Linked DNA regions of Canis lupus familiaris. The protein of the gene in region 1 interacts with the protein of each later gene in a biochemical or structural test. Links are inferred from orthologs where the notes say so. Each region holds a gene or a part of one and is shown in the gene's direction. Other genes may lie near its edges.

Region 1 (6,836 bases):
ACTCTAATCATCTTTATTGTCAGTTCTAGATACTGCTTCCAAATCTCCACAGAATGCATTATTCCTTTTCTCTAAGCTCCAACTGCTCCCTGTTTATACATCTATGTCCCCCATGGTGAAATAAACACTAATTATGCTGCACCATAACTATCTGTTCACCATCTCATTGCCTGGAATAAAAAGCTCCTTGAGGGCAGGAATCCTTTTTAATTGCTGTTCTATACCCAAGCTACTCCCTAGTACAAAATGGATACTCAAAAAATATTTGTAAATGAGTGAATGAATAGTAGACTTTGGTTATTCTTGCGTATGAAGGGATCCACTTCGTACCATCTGAGGCTATAGGCTTCCTAAGGTTATATATTTGGGGTTGCTTCTCAAATTGGACTTCCTTGATCCTTTGGTCATCTTCCCTGGAACTATGGGCTAAAATGTCACAAATTGCCCACCAGCCCCAACATCTGTCCCTCACCTTACTATGTAGCTATTTTCTGATATTAAATATATAGAATGGCAGTGGTATGCCCACAAACAGGCAAAATACGTCCCTAAACAGACCTCAGTCCTGGGGAAAAAAAGGGTGCTCTTCTACTTTTTCATCTCTTTTTTTCAGCCTTATGCTGAAAATCAACTTGATTTCATACAAATTAATGAAAACTGAAATGTTTGAACAGGAGGTTAATTACTAGCTACCATGAGCAAATGTAATAGAAGTAATAACAGCTTCTGAAATGCCAGGTAATTACTGGCAAACAGAAAAGATTGTCTTTGAATTGTAATTTAGAGGGGAGAGGAAGTGATTTTAACAGGACCCTTGGGTTTTCAAAATTCCTAGTAAAGAATTCAGCTGTCATCCTCATTACGGAAATTAATCCCAGTGTCAAAGCTAGCTGAGTACGGAATATCAGGCAGAAGTGCCGACCCGTTGTTTTTAAGCTAAGAAAGTGTTATATCGGTAACTTTCCCCAAATATTTTAGACATTAAAGATTTATAATTAAATGTATGGTTCACTTCTCAATACCTTAACATGCAGAGATTTAAAATTGACCTTTGAGTTCTAATCCTGATTTTGCTGTAACAGCTAAATTAAACCTGTGCAGCTCACTAAAAGTGCACAGTCTATGAGAAAGTCTGTTCTATCCTCTCTGCTATTTTTCTAAATGATAAGGCTGTTTCTCGTTTAAATGTTTAATGAAAATTGTGCACCTATTTATCAGTTGTTTGTTTTTTATGACATACATCTTTACTTGTTCAAATACTTAAGAAAGCCATAATATTGCATGTTATACAAATATTTGGATTTATATGCATACACATAAACATATATATAAATATCAGTTCATCTGAATTACTCTCCAATTTAAGATCTGACCGGAGGACTGCAATGATTTAATACTTCTAAGATAGCACAGTAAAATAAGCCATTATCACTTTCCTTTGCCAAGTTTAACAAAGTGGAAGGAGAGGATAGTAAGATGTAGTGATAATATTTCATATGTATTAAGGGAAAAGAACTATGAAATGATGGTAGGATCTCATCTTGTTAAAAAAGTTATTTTCTTTTTTAAAGGTAGTTTTCAGACTCAAGACAGCTGAGTGAGACTATACACCTTAGTAGCCTGGTCTTCTCGTCCTGACTAGGTTAAGGTCGGAACACTGAACTTCAGCCGGCTGCCTCTGCTGCCTCTGCAGGAACCCAGGGCTACCCTTTCCCCTTCCCTGCTCAAGCTTCAAGCACAGAGAAGAGAACCAAAACCACAGGTGCAGTAACAAACATTGCACTAGCTCCTTTGTTTCGGAAGAAAGGCAGAGTGGGGTTTCCCATCATTTTTTTGTTGAGGAAACCAGATCAAAAAGGACGTAGTGGAATGTTGGGTCACATGAATGCAGAGAATTCTTGAACCTGCCAAGGCCACCAAGGCTCTAGGCCAGACTTGCTCCCTCCCTGATGGAGCTCACCACTTGAGGCCTTCATCGTCCTCAGAAGCCACAACAGTGTCGCCAGGTGGGGAGGGCTCTTGGAAGACTTCCAAAACCCCTGCCGGGCGAGTGCAGAAAGCTGCTTTTCTTCCATTAGGCAGAGGCACCCTGCGAAGCAGAGCTTTTGGTCGCTGCCTGCACCTGACTCCTCTGTTGCCAAAATCAGGATGTTACCGGGGACCCTGTGTTGCCTTCAATTTCAAAGGCACAGGAATTCCGGGGTGCAGGAGGACTGCTGCTCCCCACTGAGGTCAAGACGTGATAAACGTGATAAAAGTTAGTTTCATCCTAAGCAAGATCAATTTCTGTGCTCCTCCAGCACTTGGCACTGATTTCTAAGATGCTTGCCAACTTCCTTGACAGCTAACTGATCAGACGCTTTCATCGCACTTTCTGTAGAATACTTCCATTTTCCCATGAAATAACGGCATCCCAAGCTCACTAATGAAGAACACTTAAGATTTTGGGGGGGGGGGGGGTAAGATTGACAATCATTTCCATTCGGAATCAGGAAGAAGGCGGTAACTAACCATTCCTTAGAGTGGACATTTAAACGGCCTTTGGGGGTCTGCTTTAGAAACTTAGGAATGCGTGTTTTAAGAAGACTCAGAAAACAAAACGCAGAGCGCGCATGCAATGTATTGCGTGTGTACACACACATTCATGAAACCGTAACGACGATTATTTGACCACGAGGCCCTGCGCCGTCTGCGCACCCGGGGCCGCGGGGTCCCCCTGCTCACGAGGCCGGGCCGCCGCCAGGCCCCCACGGCCGCCGCCGCCCCCTCGACGACCCGGCCCGGCCCGGCCCGGCCCGGCGCTGCCGCCCGCGTTCCTTCCCCTTCCGGGCCCACCTCGCTGCCCCGGCCCGCTTCACGCCTCGCCCGCCGGAACCGTGCGGAGGCCTGTGGCGGCGGCGGCCTCCCACGCACTGCATCGCGCCGGCCAGGGGCGGCCTCGGGCGCACGAGGGCCCAGGATGGGCGGGGCCGAGGCGCCGCCGCCGACCGGGAGGCGCGGGCTCGGGGCGGGGGCCGCGGCGCGGCTGCTCGGCCGCCCTGGGGGCGCAGGTGTGAGCCGCGGCCGGGAGCGAGCGCGGCCTGCGCAGCCCCGAGGGCCCCGCGTCGCCCTCCTGAGCCAAGGTTCTCAGGAGCGGGCCGGGGGGCGGGGGGCGGGGGCCGGCGCCGGCGCCGGGGCCGGGGAGACGTTAGGGCTGTTGGGGGAACCGGCCCGGGGGAGCCCCTTCCAGAGCCCGGGCCGTCGCGGGGCGGCCGCCTCCCTCCCCGCCCGGCGGCGGCCTCCAGGAGCGCGCGTGTGCCGACGGCGCCCCCCTGCCCCGCCCCGCCCCGCCCCGCCCCGCCCCGCGCAGGGGGAGCCGGGGCCGCCGCCCGTTGGCCCCGCCCGGCCCTGAGCCCCCGGGGGCGCGGCGCCGCGGCCCGCAGCGCGTCGGGTGAGGGGGTCGTCATGGCGAGGCGGCCCCGGGGCGCGCCCGCCCGCTGCGGTTGGCATGGAAGCGGCCCCGCGAGGCCTGGCCGCGCCGCCGATTGGCGGGTTCAACAGACGCGGGGGAGGTGATTAGCTGAGCGCCGCGGCCACCGCCGCTGGGAGCCCGGCGCCCCCGCTGGCACGTGTCGGCGCCGCGTCCCCGCCCCCTCCGGCGGCCCCGCAGCCCCGGCCCTCGTGTGCACTTGCTAATTGTCGGAGACTCATGTAAAGACGCCAAGCGGAGGGGAGCGAGGCCCGCGGTAGTTCCAGTCGGGGGTTGGGGCCTTGTGTCTGGTGGAAGGAGGGCCGCGGAGGAGGACCCTGCTTGTCATTTGGGAAGGGGACGTACCTTCCCGCAGTGATGTATACACCGGGTCTTTTGTTTGCAAGGAGGTGGGGGGGGGGGCGGGTAGAAAGGATGAGAGAAGCACCGCCGCGGTGGGCGAAGACTCGGGCTTGTAGCTGTAGGCTCCCCAGTGAACGCCGGACTCCGTATCCTTGCTTGGAGGTTGTCAAGATTAATCTCTTCCTCCAGCCTCAGTCAGGTCTTAGAAGAAAGCCTTGAGAGATTCAAATCGCTGTTTGGGTTCAAAGGCGCTTGGATCCCTTGCAGCGTGGCTCTTGCCCTTCCTTTCAGCAGTAACAATTGCAGAGAAGATGATACGCTTTAGTGTTCTCCCTCCTAGACATTCATTGCATGCTTGGAGCCCATGATGGAAGAGCGTGGACTAACCATTGGGTTGTCTCTTTTTCCTTACCTAATAGTTGCATTCTGTGGCGACGGAGGGTATGCATCGCAGCAGCTCCAAGAGTGGAGTAGCCCTAGCTCCGGTGTCTCGAGGTCCCGATGCCTGTCAGATGATAACCAGAGCCCAACTCGGCCAGGATCCCCCGCAAAGAACAGTGCTAGGGGTGCTAACTGAGAATGGGCAGTACGGGAGGACCTGTGGCCAGGTAATGAGTGACAAGGGCCATCACGTCATGGTAGGAGGTGGGTTTCTCTTGGAGTCGGACCTAGAATACCCTGGAGTATTGCAGCCCTGGAATCTGGACTGTAGGGACACTGACTTTGGTCCCCTTTTTCAGCTAGAAAGAGTGAATAATTTATTATTTTTCCAATAATATCAAGGAAACAGGTCTAGGAACTATTTGAATTAAGTACATGTAAAGCCATGTAAGTGCTGGGCCAAGAGCAAGTGTTAACACACCAAAATAAACTATGGAACTGGGGGTTCCTCCAGAGCAGAGTGGCGTTCAGACTGATCTAGACTGTGCCTGAAGCAAACCTGAATTTGCTATGCTTTACTATGTTCGTTGCAAGTGGTGTTAGACTACAGATTGGGTACGGCTAGATGAAATTACTTCTGAAAGTGTGTTTTGAAAGTAGACATCTCCCCAGTCCGTGAAAAAAGGCAGGTGGGCAAATGGATAATAGATATTAGTTGCTTTTGCTGGACTCATCATAGGTAGGTGAATAGACTCCCTGAATAGATTAGAAACAAAATCAGACACCTAAAATGCAAAACAAGGGATTTGGATCCTTAAGACTGAATTTTGGGGTAGAAAAAAGTTTCCCTTAGTCTGTTATTAGGCCGCTCAGAATGATGCCTTAAGCTTATATTTTACACCTGTAATGGAATCATGCTGGCAATAGTCTAGTGAAGTAGGTAGGTCAAGAATTCTTCCCATTTAATAGGTAAGAAAATTTCAAAGATTTAAGAAAGGTCAGAAAGAAAGAAAGAAAGAAAGAAAAAAAAAAAGGGTAGAGGCCAGATTAGAGCCCTTCATCCACTGACCACTCAAGGTATCTGCCTTTTGGTGGCATCTGATCAGTGGAGAGAAAAATACCCAAAGTGATCTCTTCAAAGCTTTCGGAGGAGGGGGGTGAAATTAAGTGAAAGTGGTTTTAACAAACTTAATTTGCTTAGCAATATTTACTTTTTTAAAACGGAAAATCTGAAACCTGGTTCTTACGAATCATCAGTTCTGCCCAGTGAGCCCGGGCTTAACTTAAATTCAGAACTATTAGTTAACCTTTTATGTTGCCTAGCACTACTTCTCCATTCCCCTGCTCTATTCCTTTACCAACTTCTCAGAAATCTGTTTTATAGATTTCTTTTTAATCCTCCCAAACCTCTACCTTCCTTCCTTACTCTCAGTTGATGGCCTTGTGATCCTGTTATCTTAAAAATATAAAAGGAACCAAAAGGGAATTTCTGCACGTTCCCACGTGCCATATACCCTACCATCCCCACCCTGCTACATGACTTACACTTCCCTGCTCTCAGGCAGGGTGACTCTCACACATGTAGTATACCTCATGTCCTCTTGCTTCTTCAGGGATGTTGAGAACTCTCCTTTCTCAGCCTTGTCTACTGGTCAAACTCATAAGCATATAAATATATTGTATTCTTTTTCCATCTTTAAAACCTTTAAACTACAAAGCAGTGACTGTTCATTTTACAGCCAATAATTCGAGAGTTTATCCTGCTAGATCATAAACTCCCATCAGGATGAGGATTGGGATTTGAGGCTCACTGCTGTATTCTCAGTGCTTCGAACAGTGTTTGGCCAGGGTAGCTTGTGAAGATTTGTTGAGCGAATACTCTCTTGTCTTTAATTCTTCTCTTATTCTCTTTTGACTCCTTTTTTTTGTCCATTCCTTACTTGACTAATCCAGCAGCCTTTGACACATTTGATTATTCTTTATTCCTTGAAATCCTTTCTTCTCGCTCGGCCTGGAGAACCATACTCTCTTGGTTTTCCACCTTGCTCATTGGCCACTCTTCCTCAATATCTAAAAGAGTGCTCCAGGACTTGGTATTTGATCTGAATATGCACTCACTCCCTTTCAAACTTTCAAGCCTCTTAGCATTAAATACCATCTACCTGTGCTCATACTTTTATCTCTGATAGATTTCCTCAAGGGACATTATGTCATACAAGAGATTCTATGGCTTTGTAAGAGAAGTTAATGGTAGGAGTTTCTAAAACAATCATGTTTCTAAATATCTGAGTATAAAATGGAAACTTTATAGGCACTTACTTACTGAAAGCTGTTTAAGGAGGAAGACTGTAGGAACTCAGTGACTATATATCAAGAGGTACTTATAAAATCCTATAGGCTAGAAGTATGAAAGCCAATTAACAATCTCCCTCTACCCACTCACCCATGCAATACCTATCCTCATTTTGGAGGATAGCTATGGTTTCTTTTTTTTTCTATAATCTTGAGTTTCCTTTGATAGATATATGAGGAAGATGACAAATTATAGGTAGCTCTTTTCCCAAATGTTAGATGTAGATAAAGATAAGGGAGAAGTCATATTTCAGAAGCTTCATTTTCTGAAATTAAATTGCAGACCTAGATA
Region 2 (5,511 bases), on another chromosome or scaffold:
AAAGGAGTAAATAGAAAGGGACACAAAGAGAAGATTCCAAGGGAGGTGCTCAGACGGGGTCAGCCACACATCTGGACCCTTGAACCACGTGGGGGATGGTTGGTTCAGGTGAGGTAGAAGGCTGGTGGGGAACAGCAGTCAAGGACACCTGGGTGTACAAAGTACGGGGCGGGGTGGCGGGGACTGTCCCAGGCCAGCCCAGAAGCCACATTTGTGGTGCACCATGCGTGTGGTTTCCTGAAAGCAGGTGGATTCCATGTTCCCCTTTTCTGTAGATGCTTTCTTTAGGGGGAGAGGTGAAAAGATGGGGTTGTCCCAGAGGGATGCGGGGATGGTGAGCAGTCAGTCCGGGAGGGGCTCACTGGGCAGGGGCCCCTGGGTGTATAGGTTCAGAGAACTTGACCGACAGCCCTCCCTGGCTTCTCCATGTCAGATGGTGGTTCTGAGCCATGGCAGCACCTATTTAGGGCACACTGCTGGGTTGGGGGGTGAGTTAGTTAGTCCCAGAGCTCCGCCCAGTATTGGAGCTGACCCCTGACCTATTTATTGGAGGCACAGGTGTGGGGCAAGGTATTCCTGTAACAGGCCCGTGTTCCTCAGGTTTTATGTATGTGTTTCTCGTCTGCAGGTGGGTACTTGAGGTGTAACTTGGATGATTCTATCCTGGGCCTCTTTAGGGGTGCGTTTGGTGTGGTAGAGGCTTGGGAACTGTGCATGATCCATTTGGGAATGAGGAGTGGGTCTCTGGGTGGAGGCATTTGTGTCCTGGCTCCCTGTGGTTGCATCTGGCAGGATGGTTTGTCCTGGGTGCTAAATCTGATGGGGCCAGGGTCCTCTGGTCCTCATGCATACATCCACCCCTCCCTTCCCCCAAACCTCGTCAGCTGGGGGCCTGGCTCGAAGGCTCCACTGCATCAGGGTATAGACCTGTGACCAGGGTAGTTGGGGCAGGCATCCCCAAAGTGCTAGTGGTGACCTAGAGGAATCCCAGCTGTCTGCTCTGTCTCCCTCCTCCCCACCCCTAGCTGCGGCGGAGCCCCATCAAGAAGGTCCGCAAGTCCCTGGCTCTGGACATCGTGGATGAGGATGTGAAGCTGGTGATGTCTACACTGCCCAAGGTGCTGTCCTTGGTAAGGGGTCAGAGAGAAGCTGCCCTGGCTCCCCCTGCCCAGAACTGCAGAAGGCACCTCTGCCTCAGGGAGGATAGACTCTCCCTGGAGGTCCTCTGGCTTTGGAACCCTTTAGCTGTGAGGGGACCCTGGCGCTGGAGTGGTCTGGGGTTCTTGGATGGGGCTCTGGGTGTCAGGCTCAGCTGTAAGGGGCTGATGGAGAAATTGGGGCTGGGCACCCACCCCTTGTTTCAGTCAAGGCAGCTGTGCATGTGTCTTTCACAGAAGGGTTTATTGCGTTGCTAGAGTTGCATTGCTGGAACACATTGGAAAACCATGGATCTGGGTCCCCAGCACCTTCTGTCATATTCTATTCTCATGGGGGTGATGTGGAGAGGGTTGGTGATGTGCACGGCCAGGTGGTTGGGACACATCAGCCCTGGGAACGGTGCTGTCTAGTTCCAGGCTGAGCTCAGGAATGGGGCTGTTGCCTACACAGAGCCTGCCCTCAGGACAGCACACCACACTGTTGATCCCTCCCAGCTGACAGTGGGGGGTTTTGCCCAGTGGGAGGCAGTGAGAGGGGTGGTGGGAGGCATGAGACAAAGGATTGCCTGATCAGATCCTGCACATCTGAGGATTTAGGACTGCTGCAGCCATAGCCCTCGCAGAGAAGCATCACTGGGCAGGGAGCCCCAGCAGGCTGGGGACTTCATGCTGTGCAGCCAGACCTGCAACAGACCTGCAACTGGGCATGTAACATACTTGCTCAGTAGTAAAGCTCTGGCAAGTACTTTAGAGCACAGGATTTGGGGTGGAGTGGACCTTGCAAAGTCCTAATGCTGGCTCTTGTTCTTTAGGATCTCTTAGTTTACCCAAACCTCAGGTTCTTGCCTTTGCCTTTCACTGTACTGAGCCCAGTGACTCTTTACCTTTAGGGTAAAGGTCAAGCAGAGCCGGGAGGCTGGATGGGTGGTGGGTGCTTTGTGTAGCTCTATGTGTGTGCTGGTTGATGCCAGCATCTGACTGCTTGTAGAGATTTCTAGTCCTAGGAGAAACTAGAGCACCCCCACCCTGCCTGAGGCTGTGGTGGGAGAGACCATGTCCATGTAAAAGGGGAGCAGCATTACTGGGCATCTATTAGTTGTCAGTCTCTGAAACGGGCACTTTACAGAGAATTCCCCATCTGGAAGGGGGCACAGGCTTAGAGAAGTTACTGTCCTGCTCCAAATCCTATAGCCCAGAGGTGGAGGTGCTGGGATGTGACTGGTTTCCTTCTTTCCCATCATGCTTATGGCAGAAGGGTGAGTCTGGCTTGGTTTTTGTTGCAGCCCACAAATGTCCTGTCGAGTTCCTCTAGCCTCATGGTGTCAGGCATCAAAGAGGACACCAGTCTGCTCAACGAGGGCTTCCTGCAGGCCAAACCGGAGAAGCCAGTGGCTGCCCAGAAGCCCCGAAGCCACTTTCCAACACCTGCCCCTGTGAGTGCTTGGCCACCAATGTCCTATTACCCTTGGGGACTTTGCTTATTTGTTGCCCGTGCCCAGATGCCCTTCTGAGACTCTGCTTGACTAGTTTACACTTCAGATCTCAGTCTGGACACTGCTCCAGATCCCCTTGGGGAGGGATCCCATCTGCTAGAGCCTCTACCCCCCTTTTAAGATTTTATTTATTCATTCATGAGACACAGAGAGGCAGAGACACAGGCAGAGGGAGAAGCAGGCTCCCCACAGAGAGCCTGATGTGGGACACGATCCCTGGACCCTGGGATCACACCCTGAGCCGAAGGCAGATGTCCAGCTGCTGAGGCACCCAGGAGTCCCCCCCGTCCCCCCCCGTCCCCCCCCCCCCCGCCTGTGAGCCCTTTTATGGTGTCACCTCACTTGTAATTAAGTCATGGTCTCCGTTTTTAGTTGCTTAGCACATGTCTGTCCTCAGGGGTAGGGGCTGCCCTGGCTGCTCATACCTCATTGTCTATATTTCATGAATTTCTTACTGCTCCTTCCCACTAGCCTGCTTGGCTGTAACTTTTCCTCGTGAGGAGGCTGGCACCACATGGGCAGGGGCACAGCCATGTTGCCGGTCCAACCTCTTTGCTGTATACCTAAGGAAGCCCTGAAACAGGAGTCACTTCTCCAGGGCCACTAGGGAGTTGGAGGGACCACAAGAAGACTTGTGGCTTGAAGAAGACCGAGAGTTGTAGAAATGCCCCCTACTCCTCCTGGCCATGCTCACATCACAGCATTTGCTGGGAGCTTGCTGCCCCTGCCTGGATGGTAACTCTCTTGCCTCCTCCCAGATGACCAGCGCCTGGAAGACGGTGGCCTGCGGGGGGACCAGGGACCAGCTCTTCATGCAAGAGAAAGCCCGGCAGCTCCTGGGTCGCTTGAAGCCCAGCCACACGTCTCGGACCCTCATCTTGTCCTGAGGGGCTTGGTGGTCACGAGCTCATTCTTATGTTTACAGGGGGCTGGGGGGACTGAGGTTGGTCTGTGAGTCTGAGAATCATACTCGGATGGCCACCTGCAGGGAGCCTTCTGCCACCAGCCCCTCCTCAGACTGCTCAGGTGGAGGCAGAGCAGGGCCACCCACTGCCTTGTCTCCGAGTCCAGCTGTGGCTGCGGTGGTTCCTGGTGCTAACAGAACAAAGTCCCACCCCTGGGCCTGCCTGGTCCTCTCCCCGGTGCCACAGGGAGTCCCCTTAGCTCCTCCTGAGCCCTTCTTGGGTCTGGCCTCATCTCAGACCCCTGCTTAGAACAGGGGATGTGGCCAGCATGCTCCTTCCCTCTACCTGTTAGTACATTTTCTTGAAAGAATAAAATTCCCTTTTTCCTTAATGCTGTTGTAGACTCTACCTTTCTCCTGTCTCCTGCTTGTGGTTTCCTGGTCGCTGGGTTGGTTCCCTGGTGACTGTCACAGGGGCCTTGAGGGATATGGAGATCTGGATCCTCATCCTCAGAGCACAGCCCAGGGCTGGGGCTCTGCATACTTTCCCCCAAAAGGTCCAGTGTGCTGGGGGCAGTTTGATCACCTAGTGGCTGTCTCAAAGTTCTGAGGATTCTTGGGTGTTAGCAGGGAGGGGAAGGTGCATCAGGACCCTGCTTGGCCATGGATGGCTGACCTGGCCTGCCATAGGCCTAGACACCAGGTGAGACTGGTAAACAAGGAGTGACTGGCAGCTGGCCGGAACTTACCACAGTGGCCTCAACTTGCCAAGGCCATGGCAGCAATCAGACCTTGGGCTCCAGTCCACCTGGTCAGGGTGCAGTGGGCCACTTGGCTGAAGCTAGGCACTGAAGTGGGGTAGGTGCCAGGTTTGAGAAGGTCTAGACAGGGAGGTGTTCAGCGGGGGGGGGGGGCTCATAGGATTTGGCATGTGGGGGGCCATGTCTGGGGGCCATTTGGCATGTGGCCATGTCTGGGGGCTGGATGGGTACTTGCCTATCTTTAGATTCTGCTTTAGTGCCTCTGGTTCCCAAGAGAGACACTTAGGGACAGATCCTCTTGCTGGGAGCCCCCTCTAAAGAAGACTGGGAGTTAGGACACTAGGGTTCAGGTCTAGTGAACCCTGCCGTGCTGAACTTGCACAGGGGGTCCTGTCAGCATGGCAGAGACCCACCTCACCCCCTGCTCTGGGTGGCCCTCGAGCCATTTCACAAAGTTGTGCTCAGTTTGAGCCTGGCTAAGTTCTGGTTCCTGCTCCAGAGCCAAGGCCTGGGAATGAGACCAGGGACTAGGGCTCCCACTCTGCTTCCTTGCAGCTTGTGTAGCTGAGCCAGTCTCAGTCTAGCTGGGCCATACCTGCCACATGCCCTTGTGCCTATGCTGATTTCCTGACCTGGACCCCTGTCCTCTATCCCTTGGTGACCTGCAGGGCCCCGGCTCCATCACTGACTGTTCCCTGCAGGGCTGTCAGCATTGATGGTTGATTCCAGTGAGGGTTGGGGAGCAGGGGATCTTCATCTCCAGGATTCACAGACAACTCAGTCTATAGAACACCAGCATTAAAGTCGGGTACAGCAAGCCTCTGGGACAACTCACCCTGGAGCTGATCATAGGCTCCTACGGATGATTCCTAGGCACGTGGTCAGTGGCTGCACCTCAGTGAGCTGGCCTATAACCCACCAGAGGCTTTCTGCCAGAGCTTGCTCCAGACTGCCTCTCCCACCAACACCCAAAGCTTGTCCTGAGGCTCTTTCCTGTCCTCCTTGGGAGGCAGCCCTGCTAACTGCAAACCTGTTAACTTGCCACCTCCCATGAACTCTGCACTGGAGCTGTTCTCTGCTTCCTGCATTAAATGAACAGGCATCAAGAATGCCCCCCCCCCCCCCCCCCCCGTGCCTGGCGTGGTTCTGGTGCTGAGGATACAGGAATTAACCCCAAGACTCTCCCAAACCACTTT

The links.
Region 2: the proteins of CCNA1 (region 1) and MYBL2 form a complex in vitro, tested with the Homo sapiens proteins (2 studies listed by BioGRID, with this or other methods). The link is inferred for Canis lupus familiaris from reciprocal best matches to the Homo sapiens genes CCNA1 and MYBL2.

The regions. Positions count from the first base shown.
Region 1 is NC_049246.1:4,260,827-4,267,662, reverse strand, and holds the start of CCNA1 (cyclin-A1), read left to right. Parts: upstream 1-3,050; 5' UTR 3,051-3,122; intron 3,123-3,573; exon of another isoform or gene 3,574-3,828; intron 3,829-4,230; 5' UTR 4,231-4,254; coding exon 4,255-4,419; intron 4,420-6,836. UniProt on the Homo sapiens protein: May be involved in the control of the cell cycle at the G1/S (start) and G2/M (mitosis) transitions. May primarily function in the control of the germline meiotic cell cycle and additionally in the control of mitotic cell cycle in some somatic cells.
Region 2 is NC_049245.1:32,002,366-32,007,876, forward strand, and holds the end of MYBL2 (myb-related protein B), read left to right. Parts: intron 1-1,025; coding exon 1,026-1,130; intron 1,131-2,440; coding exon 2,441-2,590; intron 2,591-3,408; coding exon 3,409-3,537; 3' UTR 3,538-3,946; downstream 3,947-5,511. UniProt on the Homo sapiens protein: Transcription factor involved in the regulation of cell survival, proliferation, and differentiation. Transactivates the expression of the CLU gene.